3 linked regions of the Arabidopsis thaliana genome follow. The protein of the gene in region 1 interacts with the protein of each later gene in a biochemical or structural test. Each region holds a gene or a part of one and is shown in the gene's direction. Other genes may lie near its edges.

Region 1 (5,349 bases):
AAAAGTAAAAAGTAAGAACTTTTTAATGTAGAACGTATGAGATGGTTCAATTAATCACAAGACACTTCTATGGCATTGCGTATTAAACGAAAAGTGAGTAAATAGAATTTATACATAATGATCTAATCTTGATCTTGCTAATAAAAATTGTAAAGGCAACAACAAGTTGTCAAAAATTTCAATTTGACGTAGAGATAAATTCTATCTAATAATTTTGTAAAAACATTCGAGATATAGTGTATCATTTTTCCATCATCTAGAACTCATTTGCGTATTTTCAAGTGTAAATCAGAACCTTGACACATAGGCTACACAAATTTTGGTCGATATTTATATTACTTTTGTAGCATAATGTGGATATCCTTCTAGAGACTAGAGTTCTAGATAAAACATTCATACATGTAACTATGTAAGTAAGCATGCATACTAAATATAAAATTTTCAAAAGTTTTAAAAGACATCATATAGATTCAAAAAGACGTGGGAAAAAGGAGAAAATGACAAAAGTTATTAGTAAAACAATCAAGTAAAAGGTCAAAGTAGTTAACGAAAAGATAAAAGTATTTCAAAAGTCTTCCTTCCATCTTGAAATGCCAAAAAATAAAAGACGAATGATTGAAGATAAATCAAAGTTGTCTGATTGCTATTGTATACATCTTTTTTTTTGTTAAAACTATTGTATACATCTAAAAAACCTTGAAGTAATCAAGATCTGAATTATAGCCGTTGATAAGGTTTTATGCTTTCACATTGAACTCGATCGTCGTCGTCAAATCTACTAGTCTCGTTTTTTAGTTTTAACGTGCTTAATTACTTCACTAATTTGTTTTTTGTTATCATTTTCACCAATTTTATTCATTGTGTGAATTAAGTTTTGTCCACATAGTAAGATTCATCAGTATAATAGGACATATGATAAAAGTTTGTATATAATCAAAGAGTATATCTAAGAATATCTAATTAAGATGAATGTTTCAGTCCACATTGGATTCTGCTTATAGTCAAACTGTCTTGTTCTTAAACCCAATTAGGTTAGAATACATGTACCAACAAATAGCATTTCTATAACTAATCTTTTATCAATTTACTTTATAGCCTACAAATAATTAGAGGAAAAGAAAAGAGAGTTAGTGGAATAATTGTCCTCTAAATCTCGATATCATCATTAACTAAATACTATATTTAGACCATATATACTATATTTTATAGTATACTATATTTTATAGTATATATAATCAACTAATCATATTAGACCACTATTAGAAATATGGATCTAAAAAAAACATTCTTTAATCAGTACTATTCTCATCCAAAGACTTGTTTTAAGAGACTAAATATGAATATGTGTATGTGTATGTGTATGCAGGAGTAGACACGTGCACGTGGCACATGCAGGGAATGGGAAGGTGGAGTGTTGACAAAGAAGAAGAGGATGATCCAAGTTTCGAAATGATTCCAAAAGTTATGAACTATAAGCCAAAGTGCTCAATCGCCAAACATGAACTTAAATAAACTTCACTCGTTAGATCGTTTTCTCACATTAAAGCCGCTCTACACTTTTACCCATTTTACCATTTATAATAACCACCACACATAGATATTAAGTTCTATGGATTTTATTCGTAAACTTAAGTTATGATCAAATAGCTAAATGATTTTGCGATTTGCCCGAGTTCTGTTTGTTTCTAAAATGGTTATCCAAAAAGCATATTTTTGTTTTATATAGAATTTGTGATATAGAAGAAATATACTAAAAATGTTTTAAAGTCTGTCTAAATCATAAACCAATGCAAAGAAAGTGAAATAAACCAAGATCTCGAGCAATAGACATAATAAATAAACAAACACCTAATAACATCACATCCCCACTAACAAATGTGAACATTAACTGTTAAAAATCACCAAAAAAGTCATCAAGATTTGGCTTTCCTTTTCAAAAGCAGTATACGTCTCTGTCTCACACAGACAGTGTATTCAATGCGTTGTGTTGTCTTCCCACTTTTCACCAGCTGAGGTTCTGCTTCTTTCTCTTCTTCTCTCCAAAACAAGAAAATTCTGCAGAATAACTTTTCATTCACGAGAGTGGAAGGTTACAGTTTTCCAAATCCGAGAAACAGACACAAAATTGGTCCCTCTCTAAAAGTTACTATCTTCGTTTAACAAAGAGATAGCTCCCAATCCAGTACAAAACAGAGTACTCTGCTCTATAAATTTCGTTCCTTTATTACTCTGCTCTATAAAACAGATTATTCTGCTCTATAAGAGAGATAGATAAATGAGCTAAAGCTCAGTAATTTCTAAACAGAGAGACAAGAAAATTCAAGAATGGTTACCTTATGTGCCACGTTACTGATCCTTCTCTCAATCTTTCTTGCAACTCCGTCGAATGTTCGAGGAAATGCAGAGCTGAAGGCTTTAATGGAGCTGAAATCGTCGCTTGACCCTGAAAACAAGCTTCTCCGTTCATGGACGTTTAACGGCGATCCATGCGACGGATCTTTCGAAGGAATTGCATGTAACCAGCATCTAAAAGTCGCAAACATATCATTACAAGGGAAACGTTTGGTCGGAAAATTGTCTCCGGCGGTTGCAGAGCTCAAATGTTTGTCAGGTCTTTACTTACATTACAATAGTCTCTCTGGAGAGATACCTCAAGAGATCACAAATCTTACTGAATTATCAGATCTTTATCTCAATGTTAATAACTTCTCTGGTGAGATTCCGGCAGATATCGGCTCCATGGCTGGCTTGCAAGGTTAGCATCTTATAATGTTTCACAGATCTTTCACTTGAATGTTTACTCGATCTTCCATTTGAATGTTTTGTGGTGTCTTTTGTTGCAGTTATGGATCTTTGTTGCAACAGTTTAACAGGGAAGATACCAAAGAACATTGGATCCTTGAAGAAACTTAATGTGTTGTCTCTGCAACACAACAAACTAACCGGAGAGGTTCCTTGGACTTTAGGAAACTTGAGTATGTTAAGCAGGCTTGATTTAAGCTTCAACAATCTGTTAGGTTTAATCCCAAAAACCCTAGCCAACATTCCTCAGTTGGACACTCTTGACTTGCGCAACAATACTCTCTCTGGCTTTGTTCCTCCTGGTGAGTTAATGATTCTTGAAACGTCTTTGTAAGAGCTTATCTCTCTGTTTCTTGACTCGGTTTTTTCTTCGTTATGTTTCTTCAAAGGTCTTAAGAAGTTGAATGGGAGCTTCCAGTTTGAGAACAACACCGGGTTATGTGGTATCGATTTTCCTTCTTTGAGAGCTTGTTCTGCTTTCGATAATGCGAATAATATCGAACAATTTAAGCAGCCTCCTGGTGAAATAGACACTGATAAATCAGCTCTTCACAACATTCCCGAGTCTGTATATCTCCAAAAGCATTGCAACCAAACACATTGCAAGAAATCCTCATCGAAACTCCCACAAGTTGCTTTGATTTCAAGCGTGATTACCGTCACTATAACATTGATTGGTGCTGGTATATTGACCTTCTTTCGCTACAGAAGAAGGAAGCAAAAGATCAGTAACACACCTGAGTTTTCCGAGGGAAGACTAAGCACAGATCAACAAAAAGAGTTCCGTGCATCGCCTTTAGTGAGTCTTGCCTACACTAAAGAATGGGATCCGCTAGGTGATAGCAGAAACGGAGCTGAGTTTTCACAAGAGCCTCATCTCTTTGTTGTAAATAGTAGCTTCAGGTTTAACTTAGAAGACATTGAATCAGCAACCCAATGCTTCTCAGAAGCTAATCTATTGAGCAGAAACAGCTTCACCTCAGTGTTCAAAGGAGTCCTCAGAGATGGTTCTCCGGTAGCTATCAGAAGCATCAACATAAGCAGTTGCAAGAACGAAGAAGTCGAATTCATGAACGGTTTAAAGCTTTTATCTTCGTTGTCACACGAAAACTTAGTGAAGCTACGTGGATTCTGCTGTTCTAGAGGCAGAGGAGAGTGTTTCCTCATCTATGATTTTGCTTCAAAAGGAAAGCTTTCAAATTTTCTTGACTTACAAGAACGCGAAACTAATCTGGTCCTTGCTTGGTCTGCAAGAATCTCCATCATCAAAGGGATTGCAAAAGGTTAAGTATTTGAAATATCACTTCTTTGAGTTCAAGGAACAAAATGTATTTAATACACAAATTTCTTGCAGGTATTGCTTACTTACATGGAAGTGATCAACAGAAGAAGCCTACAATAGTTCATCGAAACATCTCTGTCGAAAAAATCCTACTTGATGAACAATTTAACCCGTTAATCGCTGATTCGGGTCTTCACAACCTTCTAGCAGACGATATGGTCTTCTCAGCACTCAAAACAAGTGCAGCAATGGGATATTTAGCTCCGGAATACGTCACAACCGGAAAATTCACCGAGAAAACCGATATTTTCGCCTTTGGAGTCATCATTCTCCAGATACTCTCTGGTAAGCTCATGCTTACAAGTTCACTGAGAAATGCAGCTGAAAATGGAGAACATAACGGGTTCATCGATGAAGATCTTCGTGAAGAGTTTGATAAACCAGAGGCGACTGCAATGGCGAGGATTGGGATAAGCTGTACACAGGAGATACCAAACAATAGGCCTAATATAGAGACATTGCTTGAGAATATAAACTGTATGAAGAGTGAATGACTCTGCTTTTTAATTAGTATCTTTGTGCAAGTATGATTCTCCGGTTAGCTGTGTCCCACCAATTGGTTTTGTTTGTTTTAGTTCTCTCCAGTAAGAACCGGGTCCGGTTTATATTTTATTTAGATTTGTAGCTGAGAATTGAAGCTTTAATCAGTTAGCTATATGATTATAAGCAACGAAGAACTGATTAATGTAACAAAAGATACATATATAATAATCATCAAGGAGCAGTGTTTAAAACCCTCAAATCATGTCATCATACAGTTACAGTAATGATGATGCAACCTAAGTAAAGTAATTAGTCTTTGGTTACATTCACTAAAGATTTTCGAAACCATACATATAGGCGGAGATTAGTTTGTACCATGTCCTCTTACATTCATTGCAGCTTTCGGTCTTCGGGATGATTCTGCTCGTGCATGAGAAGGACTTGGATCAGTCGAGGGAAGTAACATTGGTTGCTCTCTGTTCACAAGACCACCTGCAAGAACATCAAAGAGATGATTTATCTTTGTTCACAAAGAAACGTACAACACGAAAACTTGACCGTGTAATAGGACTGCTTACTTCCAAATGAACCAGAGCGACTGGGTAACTGCATTTGCCTTCTAGCATTTCCACTCCAAGACTGTTCAAAACCAGCCAATTCATCTGCAGAATTTTGCAATTGAAAGCAAACGGTATATAAGGATATTTCATCCACAATAGAAC
Region 2 (5,514 bases), on another chromosome or scaffold:
CAGTACATAAGTTTAGCAAAATAGGGTCTACCTCTCTTCTTCAAAAGACGACATAGGAGCCAACATAATGCAAGATAGAACTAACGCTAATTAAGATAATCGAAAAGAATATGACTTGGGTGCAAAGCAAAAGGATTACGGTTTCTTGAGAGAAACTCATCCACCGGTGGAATCAATGAGTGCTTCATCTTCTTCCAATATGCTGATATCATCATTAATATTCTTGGTGTAAAACTTGTAACAGATAATCCAGACATCATTATACCTAGGAATCCATATACTCATTTCTTTTTCTTTTTATCAATTGGGTGTGACGGCTAAATGATGTAAGAACAATGAAAAATAAAAAAAAGAGCAAAGTAGAAGGGAAAAAGCAAAATTCGGGAGAATATTTTTCCACCAGTATTTGTATTGGAAATTTTTTGTTGGTAATACAAAACTTTAAAGAGCTGCTGAAGTTGAGTAATCTTTACGATGTTCATTTTCAATCTTGAGACTATATCTATATGTGTTAAGATTGTATGGTAGAACGTGATATAATATCTGTATGGTAACACGTGAGAGTAGTTTGTTGGTCCATTCTACAAATCGAACTACCACATGACAGAAACATGTATGATGTAGATGTACTGTATATTTTAACAGTTGCGGACAACATTGGTCGGAAAAAAAAAACTCATACCAAATTGGTAAGTAGTGATATTAATTTTGGTTCAATTTCTTGATCATGTGAATAATAGAATTAAAATTTAGCCAAGCCAGCCAAAACCAAAAGAATCCGTAAGCATAGCAAATATAAAGCCACTTTCGAAACTAGCAACAATGACGGTGAAATAATTTTATCCTAGTTTAGTAGACTAGACAGTAGAAACATGATGTGATAAATAAAATGATTTAATCTCATTTCTCATACTTCACTTAAATAAGATATTATCTTATAGATTTCATGCTTTAGTTAGCTTCTAAGCGTGTTTTAATGATTATAGGGGGACATAACGACATTAACAACACACCTCAAATAGTATAGTTTAAATGTACATTTACAGAAAATTCATTTTAAACTGATTCTAAAATGTAAATTTACAGAAAAATTAATTTAAACTAAATTGATAACCCTTTTATGAAAAATATTCTAAGATGTTAGTCGCAAAATTGAAATAATAAGAAAAAGATTTATAATAAGAAAAAGATTTATAAAACTCAATTTTAAACACAATTATTGGAAAAAACTTCTATACAGAGACTTTGAGAGACCAGCGAGCACGTGTCAAAGGCATGGCATTTACTTCGACGGCTAAGTGAGGGACAGGGACCCTGACCGTAACAGTTCCCAAGGAGTTACAATGTTCCGTACCTCCTTCATTTGCTAATCCCTAACACTTACGTGAGTAGTGTTAGTTATTTACCCTAATCAACATTTGGATTAGGCTAATCCATGTTTGTGAGGACCACTATGATATTTTTCTCTCTTTTTTTGTTTCTTTATCATTATGATATCATTATAATGAAAAAAAAAAAATGGCGAAAAAAAAATATCATTATGATAAATAAATATATAATTGGCAATCAATTACACATGCCACCATACTTTTACCTTTGTTCACAAAGTCTCAAAATTACAGTACTCACAGTCAGTCAAAATTATAGTACTCATCAATATAAACATTACTAATTTAGATAATTTTATGTTAATAGTGGATCTAATTTATGAACCCCCAAACAGTAAAACTTTTTTTTCTAAAACATTACAATAAAAATGATATTTGTAATACCGCTATATATTTTACGATTAGTCACAATCAAAACGGTATCAATCGACAAAATTACTGATGACCAATAGAAATTTTGGCAAACATTATTACAAAAATGTGTTATGTCAAACTAAATTAAATGAAAACAAAAAATTTGTAATTGAATTATTAAATACGTTGCCATAAATTGATGTTTTGCCCTTAATTAATTGATTACAGTATGATTAAAAAGGTATAACTAACATAAATAAATACCCTTCAAGAACCAACCAATCTCTCATTCTTTCGTCACCCACCTTCTTCACTCTCTGTTATTTTCACAAACCAGAAAAATTCAAGTACAGAGAAATGATCCTTCTCTCACTTCTTCTCCATCTTCTTCTTCATCTCCTCAACACTTCTCCTTCTCTTTCTCTTTCCCCCGACGGTATCGCTTTACTCTCACTCAAATCCGCCGTCGATCACTCCTCCTCCTCCGCTTTCTCCGATTGGAACGATAACGACACCGATCCTTGTCATTGGTCCGGAATCTCCTGTATGAACATCTCAGACTCTTCTACCTCTCGCGTCGTTGGAATTTCCCTCGCCGGAAAACATCTCCGTGGCTACATCCCCTCAGAGCTTGGCTCACTTATTTACCTCCGTCGTCTTAACCTCCACAACAACGAACTTTACGGTTCAATTCCTACTCAATTATTCAACGCGACGTCGCTTCATAGTATCTTCTTATACGGTAACAATCTCTCCGGTACTCTTCCTCCTTCGATCTGTAAACTCCCAAAGCTTCAGAATCTCGATTTGTCTATGAATTCGCTCTCTGGAACTCTTTCACCGGATCTCAACAAGTGTAAACAGCTTCAACGGTTGATCCTCTCCGCTAACAACTTTTCCGGTGAGATTCCTGGTGATATCTGGCCGGAATTGACTAATTTAGCTCAGCTTGATCTCTCTGCTAACGAATTTTCCGGCGAAATCCCTAAGGATATCGGAGAGCTTAAGTCTCTCTCTGGTACTTTGAATCTCTCCTTTAACCATTTATCCGGCCAAATCCCTAATTCCTTAGGAAATCTACCGGTGACAGTCTCTCTTGATCTCCGGAACAACGATTTCTCCGGCGAGATTCCTCAATCTGGTTCGTTCTCTAACCAGGGGCCAACCGCATTTCTCAATAATCCGAAACTGTGTGGTTTCCCTCTCCAGAAAACTTGTAAAGACACTGATGAGAACTCTCCGGGGACTCGAAAGTCGCCCGAGAATAATGCGGATTCTAGAAGAGGGTTAAGTACTGGATTAATAGTGTTGATCTCGGTGGCAGATGCAGCAAGTGTAGCTTTTATTGGTTTAGTGTTAGTTTACTTGTACTGGAAGAAAAAAGACTCTGAGGGAGGGTGTAGCTGCACAGGGAATGCGAAACTCGGTGGTGGTTCGGTGAAGGGGAAATCGTGTTGTTGTATCACGGGGTTTCCGAAAGAGGATGATTCGGAAGCGGAAGGTAATGAGAGAGGAGAAGGGAAAGGAGATGGAGAGCTTGTAGCGATTGATAAAGGGTTTTCTTTTGAGCTTGATGAGTTGTTGAGAGCTTCTGCATATGTTTTGGGGAAGAGTGGGTTAGGGATAGTGTATAAAGTGGTGTTAGGGAATGGAGTTCCGGTGGCGGTGCGGCGACTTGGGGAAGGAGGGGAACAGAGGTATAAAGAGTTTGTTACGGAGGTTCAAGCTATGGGGAAAGTGAAACATCCTAATGTGGTGAAGTTAAGAGCTTATTATTGGGCTCCTGATGAGAAGCTTTTGATTAGTGACTTCGTTAACAATGGAAGTTTAGCTGATGCTCTTAGAGGTATTACATTACTTCTTCCTTCTTCTTTTTCTGCTTATCGAATTAGTCTACTAACTAAAGTTTGAGATCCGGTTCTGTTCTATTGACTTAAGAAATTTATGTTGACTTTGACTTTGTCAACGCTAGATTAGACATTACTACCTTAGTGAGAGATGAGATTAGATCTGAGAGATAGTTTGTGGGATTGTCAAAGCAAGAGTGGACCAAGATTTCTTTCTCTTTTTAGGCATATTTTGGTATTTTAATTTAGAATTTAGTCAAGTTACATGTAAAAGAGACATGTCTTGTAAGAGAATTCGACATGTCCGAATAATAAATATCTTTTTTAAGTATTAGTATATGATTTAAGTGTGGTAGAGTCTTAGAGTAGAAGTAATTAGTAAAAATAGCAGAATGAGGAAACAATGATGAGAGAAGTTTACTTGTGGGCTAAGAGTAATGATTTTATACACCCACTCTGTTGAGCCTCTAGCTGTCCCGTCTTTTTCTCATCGTAACTCATTACTTACTTTAATATTGGATACTTGTTTGTTTTGGTGTGTGAATAGGGAGGAATGGTCAACCATCACCGAGCTTAACATGGTCAACGCGTATAAAGATCGCAAAAGGAGCTGCGCGTGGGTTAGCTTATCTACACGAGTGTAGTCCAAGGAAGTTGGTACATGGCGACGTTAAGCCTTCCAACATTCTTCTTGATTCCTCCTTCACTCCTTACATCTCTGACTTCGGTCTCACACGTCTCATCACCATCACTGCCGCTTCTGCCTCTTCTAACGAACCTTCCTCCTCCTCTGCTGCGGGTGGTTTCTTAGGTGGAGCTCTTCCTTACACTTCCATCAAACCCTCAGATAGATCCAACGGCTATAAAGCCCCCGAGGCCCGGCTCCCTGGAGGGAGGCCTACTCAGAAATGGGACGTATACTCCTTCGGTGTTGTGCTTATGGAGCTTCTCACCGGGAAATCGCCGGATTCTTCTCCGTTAAGCTCTTCCTCGACGTCTACGGTGGTTGTTGAGGTGCCGGATTTGGTGAAGTGGGTGAGGAAAGGGTTTGAAGAGGAGACTCCATTGTCGGACATGGTTGATCCAATGTTACTTCAAGAAGTTCACGCCAAGCAACAAGTCTTGTCCGTTTTTCATCTAGCTCTCGCTTGTACCGAAGGTGACCCTGAAGTCCGTCCACGTATGAAGAACGTCTCTGAGAACATCGACAAAATCTGATTCAATTATTATATTCTTTTTTCTTTAATTTTTCCTATTATATTTTTGTATCTCCGATAGTTCTTACACGAGGTCGTTACGTCACTCCCACGTCTGGGACTAGTGGTCGATTTGTTTTTATTGAATAATTATTTGTTATGAAAATTGAATCAAATGAGTTATACTTTAGGCTTTAAATGGCTTTGTCTTTTATTTTGCTGTCTTTTTCTCATCTGTTAAAAGACAACTCCTAGTTAACGGGCACTTGTCTTGTCCTTCAGTTGAAGATACACATACAAGATCTAATATCTTCCAAGAACCATCCATTTGAAATTTCGCTTTTCATAGAGTTTATGCAAATGTGGATTTGGGTTTTTAGATTTAAACGGGTCACAGAATATTTAACTTGGGGTAAATTTTCAAAAAAGCATAATGGATAATTAAAATTTAGATTGGCCCATTATATTTATCAGGCCCACTAATTAAATGTTTGTTGCTTTTCTGCTTTTTGACATTTTACACCGGCAACCTTTGTCGGAGAACGGTTAAGTAGCTGGGATAACTCAGGCGGCGTCGCGGTTAGGTAGAGTAGAAGAAACTACAAGCAAGAGAGAGCGATTCACTGAAGGTAACCACGTCTTAAACAAAATGAACCGAACTATAACCGTTTGGTTAGAAGATTTAAAACGGAATGATCCGGTTTGATTTTTTGGTTTCAGATTCTGCGG
Region 3 (6,611 bases), on another chromosome or scaffold:
CCTGAGATTGAAAAACAGGTGATTTTATTTTGTTGTTAATTGTATTAGTAAAGATCAGTAGATATATATTTGTTTTTGTTTTTCGGTTTCATAATATTTTGGACGCTTGTGTTTAGGTCAATGAAGAGAAAGAAAGAAAGTAATGGATATTAGATCTGCTGGTCAGTCACAAACACGAGGTGTACAAATTTAGCCTCACCGATATCAAAGAAGAGAGAAGCAATGAAGATACATCAATGGAAGATTGTTGCATAGAAGAGGCTCAAGTCGGAAAAGATCAAAGAGTCTTCAGATTCAGAGAAAGTAGTGAAGAGAAGAGAAAATCCTCATCATCACCATTATCACCACTAACAGAGTTTAGGGATATGGAGAGTTTGACGTATTACATGAGGCAAAAAGGGATGCATCGAAGAAGAAGAAGATCATCAACATCACCACATTGTTGCCATAATGTAGTATACAATGAGTTTAAAGTGACGAAGGAAGAAGAAGAGGAAGAAAGACAAAGATTAACAACCAAACGTGTTCATTCTAAGCTTCATGAATACGAACAATTTTTAACTCAGTTTAAAAAGAAGAAGGAAGAAGAAAACGAGAGACGAAGATTATCACCCAAAGACTTTGAGCCTACGCTTCCTGATTACGACCAAGTGATTACTCGCTTTAGAGTGCTGGAGAAGGAAGAAGAAGAAAGACGAAGATTAGCAACAAAACATGTTCATCCTAAGCTTCCTGATTACGACCAGATTGCTACTAAGTTTAAACTCCTGAAGGAGGTAGAAAAAGAAAGACGAAGATTATTAACCAAACACAGTTCATCCTAAGCTTCCAGGATGAGACACGAAGATTATCAACACCAAAAGGAAGATGAAGAAGACTATAACCAAACCACTAGGGTTTTTTGATTCGGAGTCGGACCAACCTTAAGGTTGGAAAGCTAACTAAAGCTTCGCCTCTGTCTTTTTGAATTTTCCACAGTCCAATTTAGGATTCAAAGTCTCTTTTTGTGTTGAAGAATGAGAGACGAAGATTATTAACCCAAAAAGAAGAAGAAGAAGAAAGACGAAGATAATTAACCAAACCGCTAGTTTTTTTTTTTGGTTTTGATTCGGAGTCGGACCAACTTTAAGGTTGGAAAGCTATTTAAAGCTTCAGCTCAGTCTTTTTTGAATGAAGTCTTAATTGATGTACTATATAATCGAAAATGAAAATAGTGTATATGAGATCTTTAATTTTGTTACCGTATAAAATATGTTGATTCATTTTACCAATTTGGGTATATCTTACAAAAAAGTTTATGTTACTCGTTTTTAATTAAATAAGCAATCAAATGACTTAGTCATAAAATTTAGTGAAAATTATCCAGATTTGAGTCATGGATTTATAAGGGAATATTATAGGCGACGTCAAAAATCAAAATCACCTAAGTTGACTTATTAATTTCTAAATTTTTCTTCACTTTATTTTTAAAAAAGAATTTCAAACTCATCGAAATTTGTCAAAATAATTTCAGATAAATATATACCATATACGTCAACGGACTATAATATCGAGTTTTTTTCCACACTTAATATTAGAAATTTCAGAAATGAATATTATAGGCAACGACGACGTCAAAAATCAAAATCACCTAAGTTGACTTATTCTTTTCTAATTTTTCTTCACTTTATTTTTTAAAAAGAATTTTAAACACATCGAAATTTGTCAAAATAATTCCAAATAAATATATACAATATACGTCAACGAACTATAATATCGAGATTTTTTTCACACAAAATAAAAGTACGATTGTTTAGTAGTTTATTTACGCTCTCTTTTTGTTATTATAGTTGCTTTTATTGGAAGCTTGGAAGGCAAGTTGGGTATTTTTGTTTTGTTTAAGCAAGATTCTGCAACTTTCTTTGTTTGTATCTTTCCATTCTTTATTTACTTTCGTTTGATTTCTCATTTTGTTTTTATATATTTGCCACCAATTCTAGTTTGAACATTTCCACAAGACACATAATTTCGTAGGCAAATAAGAGTGCTGTTACAATCACCTGAATAAGTCTAATGTTGAAGAAGAAGACTTGGCCATCTTAATTGACCAATACTTTGCTCTTATGTCAATCTTTACCCACCAAGAACCTATGAAAAATGAATAGCCTCCTCTGATTCAGAACAAACATCCCCAAAAAACATGAGGTTTTTGTCTTTCTTGATCTTCGTTTTCGCAGTTCTTGGATTGGTTCAAGCTCAAGACCAATCAGGTTATTTACTCTGTTTTCATGAAATCTTGATGTTTTGTTTCCTTTTCAGATCAACAAAACCTCTTAAAAGTTTGTTTTTTTCGATCATAAACAGGATTCATAAGCTTAGATTGTGGTTTGGTGCCTACGGAAATTACTTATGTGGAAAAGTCGACGAATATAACATACAGATCAGACGCAACTTACATCGACAGTGGAGTTCCCGGGAAGATCAATGAAGTGTACAGAACACAGTTTCAGCAACAAATTTGGGCCTTGAGAAGCTTCCCTGAGGGTCAAAGAAATTGTTACAACTTCAGTCTCACCGCAAAACGTAAGTATCTAATCAGAGGAACCTTTATCTATGGGAATTATGACGGTTTGAATCAACTCCCGAGCTTTGATCTTTACATCGGTCCAAACAAATGGACCTCTGTTTCGATCCCCGGAGTGAGAAATGGTTCAGTCTCCGAGATGATCCATGTCTTAAGACAAGACCATCTTCAAATTTGTCTTGTGAAAACAGGAGAAACTACACCGTTTATTTCTTCATTGGAACTTCGTCCTTTGAACAATAATACATACGTCACAAAAAGTGGATCGCTTATTGTGGTCGCAAGACTTTACTTTTCACCCACTCCACCATTTCTCAGGTACAGAAATGAGCCAAAAAGGTTTTATTTTCATACTAGTTGTTTTGTTGTTTGTGTTAAATTATCAAAATGAGCCTTTCTCTCTAGGTATGATGAGGACGTCCATGACCGAATTTGGATTCCATTCTTAGATAACAAAAATTCCTTGTTAAGCACGGAACTCTCTGTTGATACAAGTAACTTCTACAATGTGCCTCAAACTGTAGCGAAAACTGCTGCTGTCCCTTTAAATGCTACTCAGCCTCTGAAAATAAATTGGAGTCTCGACGACATCACTTCACAGTCATATATATACATGCATTTCGCTGAAATCGAGAATCTTGAAGCTAATGAGACCAGAGAATTCAATATTACTTACAATGGTGGCGAAAATTGGTTCTCCTATTTTAGACCTCCAAAGTTTCGTATAACAACTGTATACAATCCAGCAGCTGTGAGTTCTCTAGATGGGAATTTCAACTTCACTTTCTCGATGACCGGTAACTCTACTCATCCTCCTCTTATCAACGGCCTTGAGATTTATCAAGTTCTAGAGCTTCCACAGCTTGATACATACCAAGATGAAGGTAAGTTAAGCATGTTCTTAAACCAATTCTTTTACCAAGAGTTCATGTCTTTGAAGTTTTTGAAATGTAATGATTGATCAGTTTCCGCTATGATGAATATCAAGACAATATATGGATTGAGCAAAAGGTCTAGCTGGCAAGGAGATCCATGTGCTCCTGAGTTATATAGATGGGAAGGTTTAAACTGTAGTTATCCAAACTTTGCGCCACCGCAGATCATATCCTTGTATGTTTTGCTTGTTAATCTCACAATTCTTTAGTTTCGAGTTTTTTTTCTCAAGTTCTAACTTTTGGACTCTCTATTAGGAACTTGAGTGGAAGCAATTTGAGTGGTACCATAACATCTGATATATCCAAGCTAACACATTTGAGAGAACTGTAAGAATCCGAAACTGTCACACACTAATAAACTTAAAGTATATGATATGGTGTATTGTGTATAACAAATTTATTTTTTTCCTTTAATGCGCAGAGATTTATCAAACAATGACTTATCAGGAGATATTCCATTTGTTTTTTCTGATATGAAGAATTTGACACTCATGTGAGCTACTAAATGACTAATATATTTATCTTGGTTCTTGGTCGCTCTGCTCTTTGTGTGCTGTTCTCAAAGATTCATTTTTGTCATTTGCAGAAACTTGAGTGGAAACAAGAATCTAAATCGCTCAGTTCCAGAGACTCTTCAGAAGAGGATAGATAACAAATCTTTAACACTAATGTAAGATTTTCAGTGGATTCAGTCTCAAGCTTTTCAAGTCACGGAAAGTATTTCAGAATCCTATGAAACAGTGTCTAACCTTCTATTCGATTCCACATCACCTTTAATGATTGCAGTAGAGATGAAACCGGAAAAAATAGTACAAATGTAGTTGCTATCGCAGCATCAGTGGCTAGCGTGTTTGCTGTGCTAGTTATCTTGGCTATCGTTTTTGTCGTCATAAGGAAAAAACAGAGAACTAATGAAGGTATGATCACTAGAATAGGTCTTGAAAATAATGAAAATGAAAGTTGTCAGATTTATACTCACTTCCTTTAGGTTTTACAGCTTCAGGACCCCGATCATTCACTACTGGCACGGTTAAGAGTGATGCAAGATCATCGAGTTCATCAATCATAACAAAGGAACGCAAGTTCACTTATTCGGAGGTACTAAAGATGACTAAAAACTTTGAGAGAGTTCTTGGTAAAGGAGGGTTTGGAACAGTGTATCATGGTAACTTGGATGATACTCAAGTAGCTGTGAAAATGCTTTCTCATTCATCAGCTCAAGGTTATAAAGAGTTCAAAGCAGAGGTACTTTAACAAGAAATGGATATGTTTTTTTTTTTTTTAATAAGAAATGGATATGTTAGTCTTAATTGTTTTTAAAGTGCATTAGGTTCCTCAATCATGAATGGTGATTTTGTTCTTTCTTAGGTTGAACTTCTTTTAAGAGTTCATCACAGACATTTGGTGGGACTTGTTGGTTACTGTGATGATGGAGACAACTTAGCTCTGATCTATGAATATATGGAAAAAGGAGACCTGAGGGAAAATATGTCAGGTAAGCACTTTAATTTAGTTGAATCCATCTCCTTAGACAGTTTGAAACATTCAAAGCCTGGTACAGGAAAACACAGTGTCAATGTCCTAAGCTGGGAAACAAGAATGCAAATAGCTGTAGAGGCAGCACAAGGTGAACTAAATTATGACTTATATACTTTTCATTCACAACAATTTGTGTGGTAGTCTGAAAGCAAGATTGACATAAACAATAACTATTTGTAACAGGATTGGAGTATTTGCATAACGGATGTAGGCCTCCTATGGTACATAGAGATGTGAAACCAACCAACATTTTATTAAATGAGCGGTCTCAAGCAAAACTAGCCGACTTTGGGCTATCGAGATCTTTTCCTGTTGATGGTGAATCTCATGTCATGACAGTCGTTGCAGGAACACCTGGTTACTTAGATCCTGAGTGAGTGAATCAATCTGTTTCTTGTACTGAAATAAGTTATGAAGAATTGGGAACTGTAACCTCTCTTTATGATACTCTTCTTTTCAGGTATTACAGAACAAACTGGCTAAGCGAGAAGAGTGATGTGTACAGCTTTGGTGTAGTGCTTTTAGAGATAGTCACAAACCAGCCTGTGATGAATAAAAACCGAGAGAGACCTCATATCAATGAATGGGTTATGTTCATGCTTACCAATGGGGATATCAAGAGTATTGTCGACCCGAAACTGAATGAAGACTATGACACAAACGGTGTGTGGAAGGTTGTAGAGTTGGCTTTAGCTTGTGTAAACCCGTCTTCAAGCCGTAGACCGACAATGCCACACGTGGTGATGGAGCTAAACGAATGTCTTGCTTTGGAAATAGAAAGGAAACAAGGTAGTCAAGCGACGTACATAAAGGAATCTGTTGAGTTTAGTCCATCTTCTGCTTCTGATTTTTCCCCTTTAGCTAGGTAAAAGTCTTTGTGTTATCAAGCTTTGTTGTTTATTATAATCGATTGTTCATATTGAAATGTTTAAGATAGTTCTGTGAATTTTCTTCAAAATGTATTAGCCTTTATTATGTGTAACATTCTTGGATTCCAAGAAATTTATATCTTTAATATTAGTTTATGTATGAGTCATCAACGCATGGTCTTGGATGCTCTTTTTTGATTACTCTGTTCTCATGATTTTGAAGTAAAAGTTTGCAAGAAATTCGGACTCATACAAATTCAAAGTGAACGCATGAAAGCGTTGTTGGAGTCAAATGTGACATGGTCCGTGTATAATTCACTAGAGTTCATATCACATACAAAAATAAACGTGCCTCCATAAAAATTAAAATTTACTATCTGATTTAAATTGACTGATTCATTTAAAATCTGCTAAAGTTTTTTAACCTATAAATAATGTAACAATTGATTTCACATCTTTTTTTAGAAGTCTACCTAATAATATACATTTGAAAATTCTCCAACGCCTGAAAGCGGAAAGAATGTCGTAGACACGTAATGTGTTACTATAATAATCACCTGAATAAAATAAAAGAATCTAATGTTGAAGACTTAGCACACAGCTTACACAAGCTATGAATGCCAAATCAATTGACCAATATAATGTTATCTCAATACTTGCCAGTCAAGAACAATGATCAATGAATAATCATAACCTCCCTGAATC

Evidence for each region.
Region 2: the proteins of AT4G22730 (region 1) and AT1G67510 form a complex in vitro, tested with the Arabidopsis thaliana proteins (one large-scale study listed by BioGRID).
Region 3: the proteins of AT4G22730 (region 1) and AT1G51890 form a complex in vitro, tested with the Arabidopsis thaliana proteins (one large-scale study listed by BioGRID).

The regions. Positions count from the first base shown.
Region 1 is NC_003075.7:11,939,059-11,944,407, forward strand, and holds AT4G22730 (Leucine-rich repeat protein kinase family protein), read left to right. Parts: upstream 1-1,942; 5' UTR 1,943-2,325; coding exon 2,326-2,755; intron 2,756-2,843; coding exon 2,844-3,104; exon of another isoform or gene 3,105-3,191; coding exon 3,192-4,085; coding exon of another isoform or gene 4,086-4,090; intron 4,091-4,156; coding exon 4,157-4,638; 3' UTR 4,639-4,827; downstream 4,828-5,349. Other genes in the region: AT4G22740 (glycine-rich protein), read right to left, coding at 4,992-5,119, 5,206-5,289.
Region 2 is NC_003070.9:25,296,770-25,302,283, reverse strand, and holds AT1G67510 (Leucine-rich repeat protein kinase family protein), read left to right. Parts: upstream 1-1,930; 5' UTR 1,931-2,099; coding exon 2,100-3,588; intron 3,589-4,136; coding exon 4,137-4,807; 3' UTR 4,808-4,978; downstream 4,979-5,514.
Region 3 is NC_003070.9:19,274,097-19,280,707, reverse strand, and holds AT1G51890 (Leucine-rich repeat protein kinase family protein), read left to right. Parts: upstream 1-1,909; 5' UTR 1,910-2,179; coding exon 2,180-2,249; intron 2,250-2,343; coding exon 2,344-2,881; exon of another isoform or gene 2,882-2,968; coding exon 2,969-3,447; intron 3,448-3,528; coding exon 3,529-3,673; intron 3,674-3,753; coding exon 3,754-3,825; intron 3,826-3,919; coding exon 3,920-3,991; intron 3,992-4,084; coding exon 4,085-4,168; intron 4,169-4,284; coding exon 4,285-4,415; intron 4,416-4,495; coding exon 4,496-4,743; intron 4,744-4,866; coding exon 4,867-5,125; intron 5,126-5,220; coding exon 5,221-5,410; coding exon of another isoform or gene 5,411-5,414; exon of another isoform or gene 5,415-5,497; coding exon 5,498-5,906; 3' UTR 5,907-6,075; downstream 6,076-6,611. Other genes in the region: AT1G51900 (Regulator of Vps4 activity in the MVB pathway protein), read left to right, coding at 167-824; RHS6 (root hair specific 6), read left to right, coding at 6,586-6,611.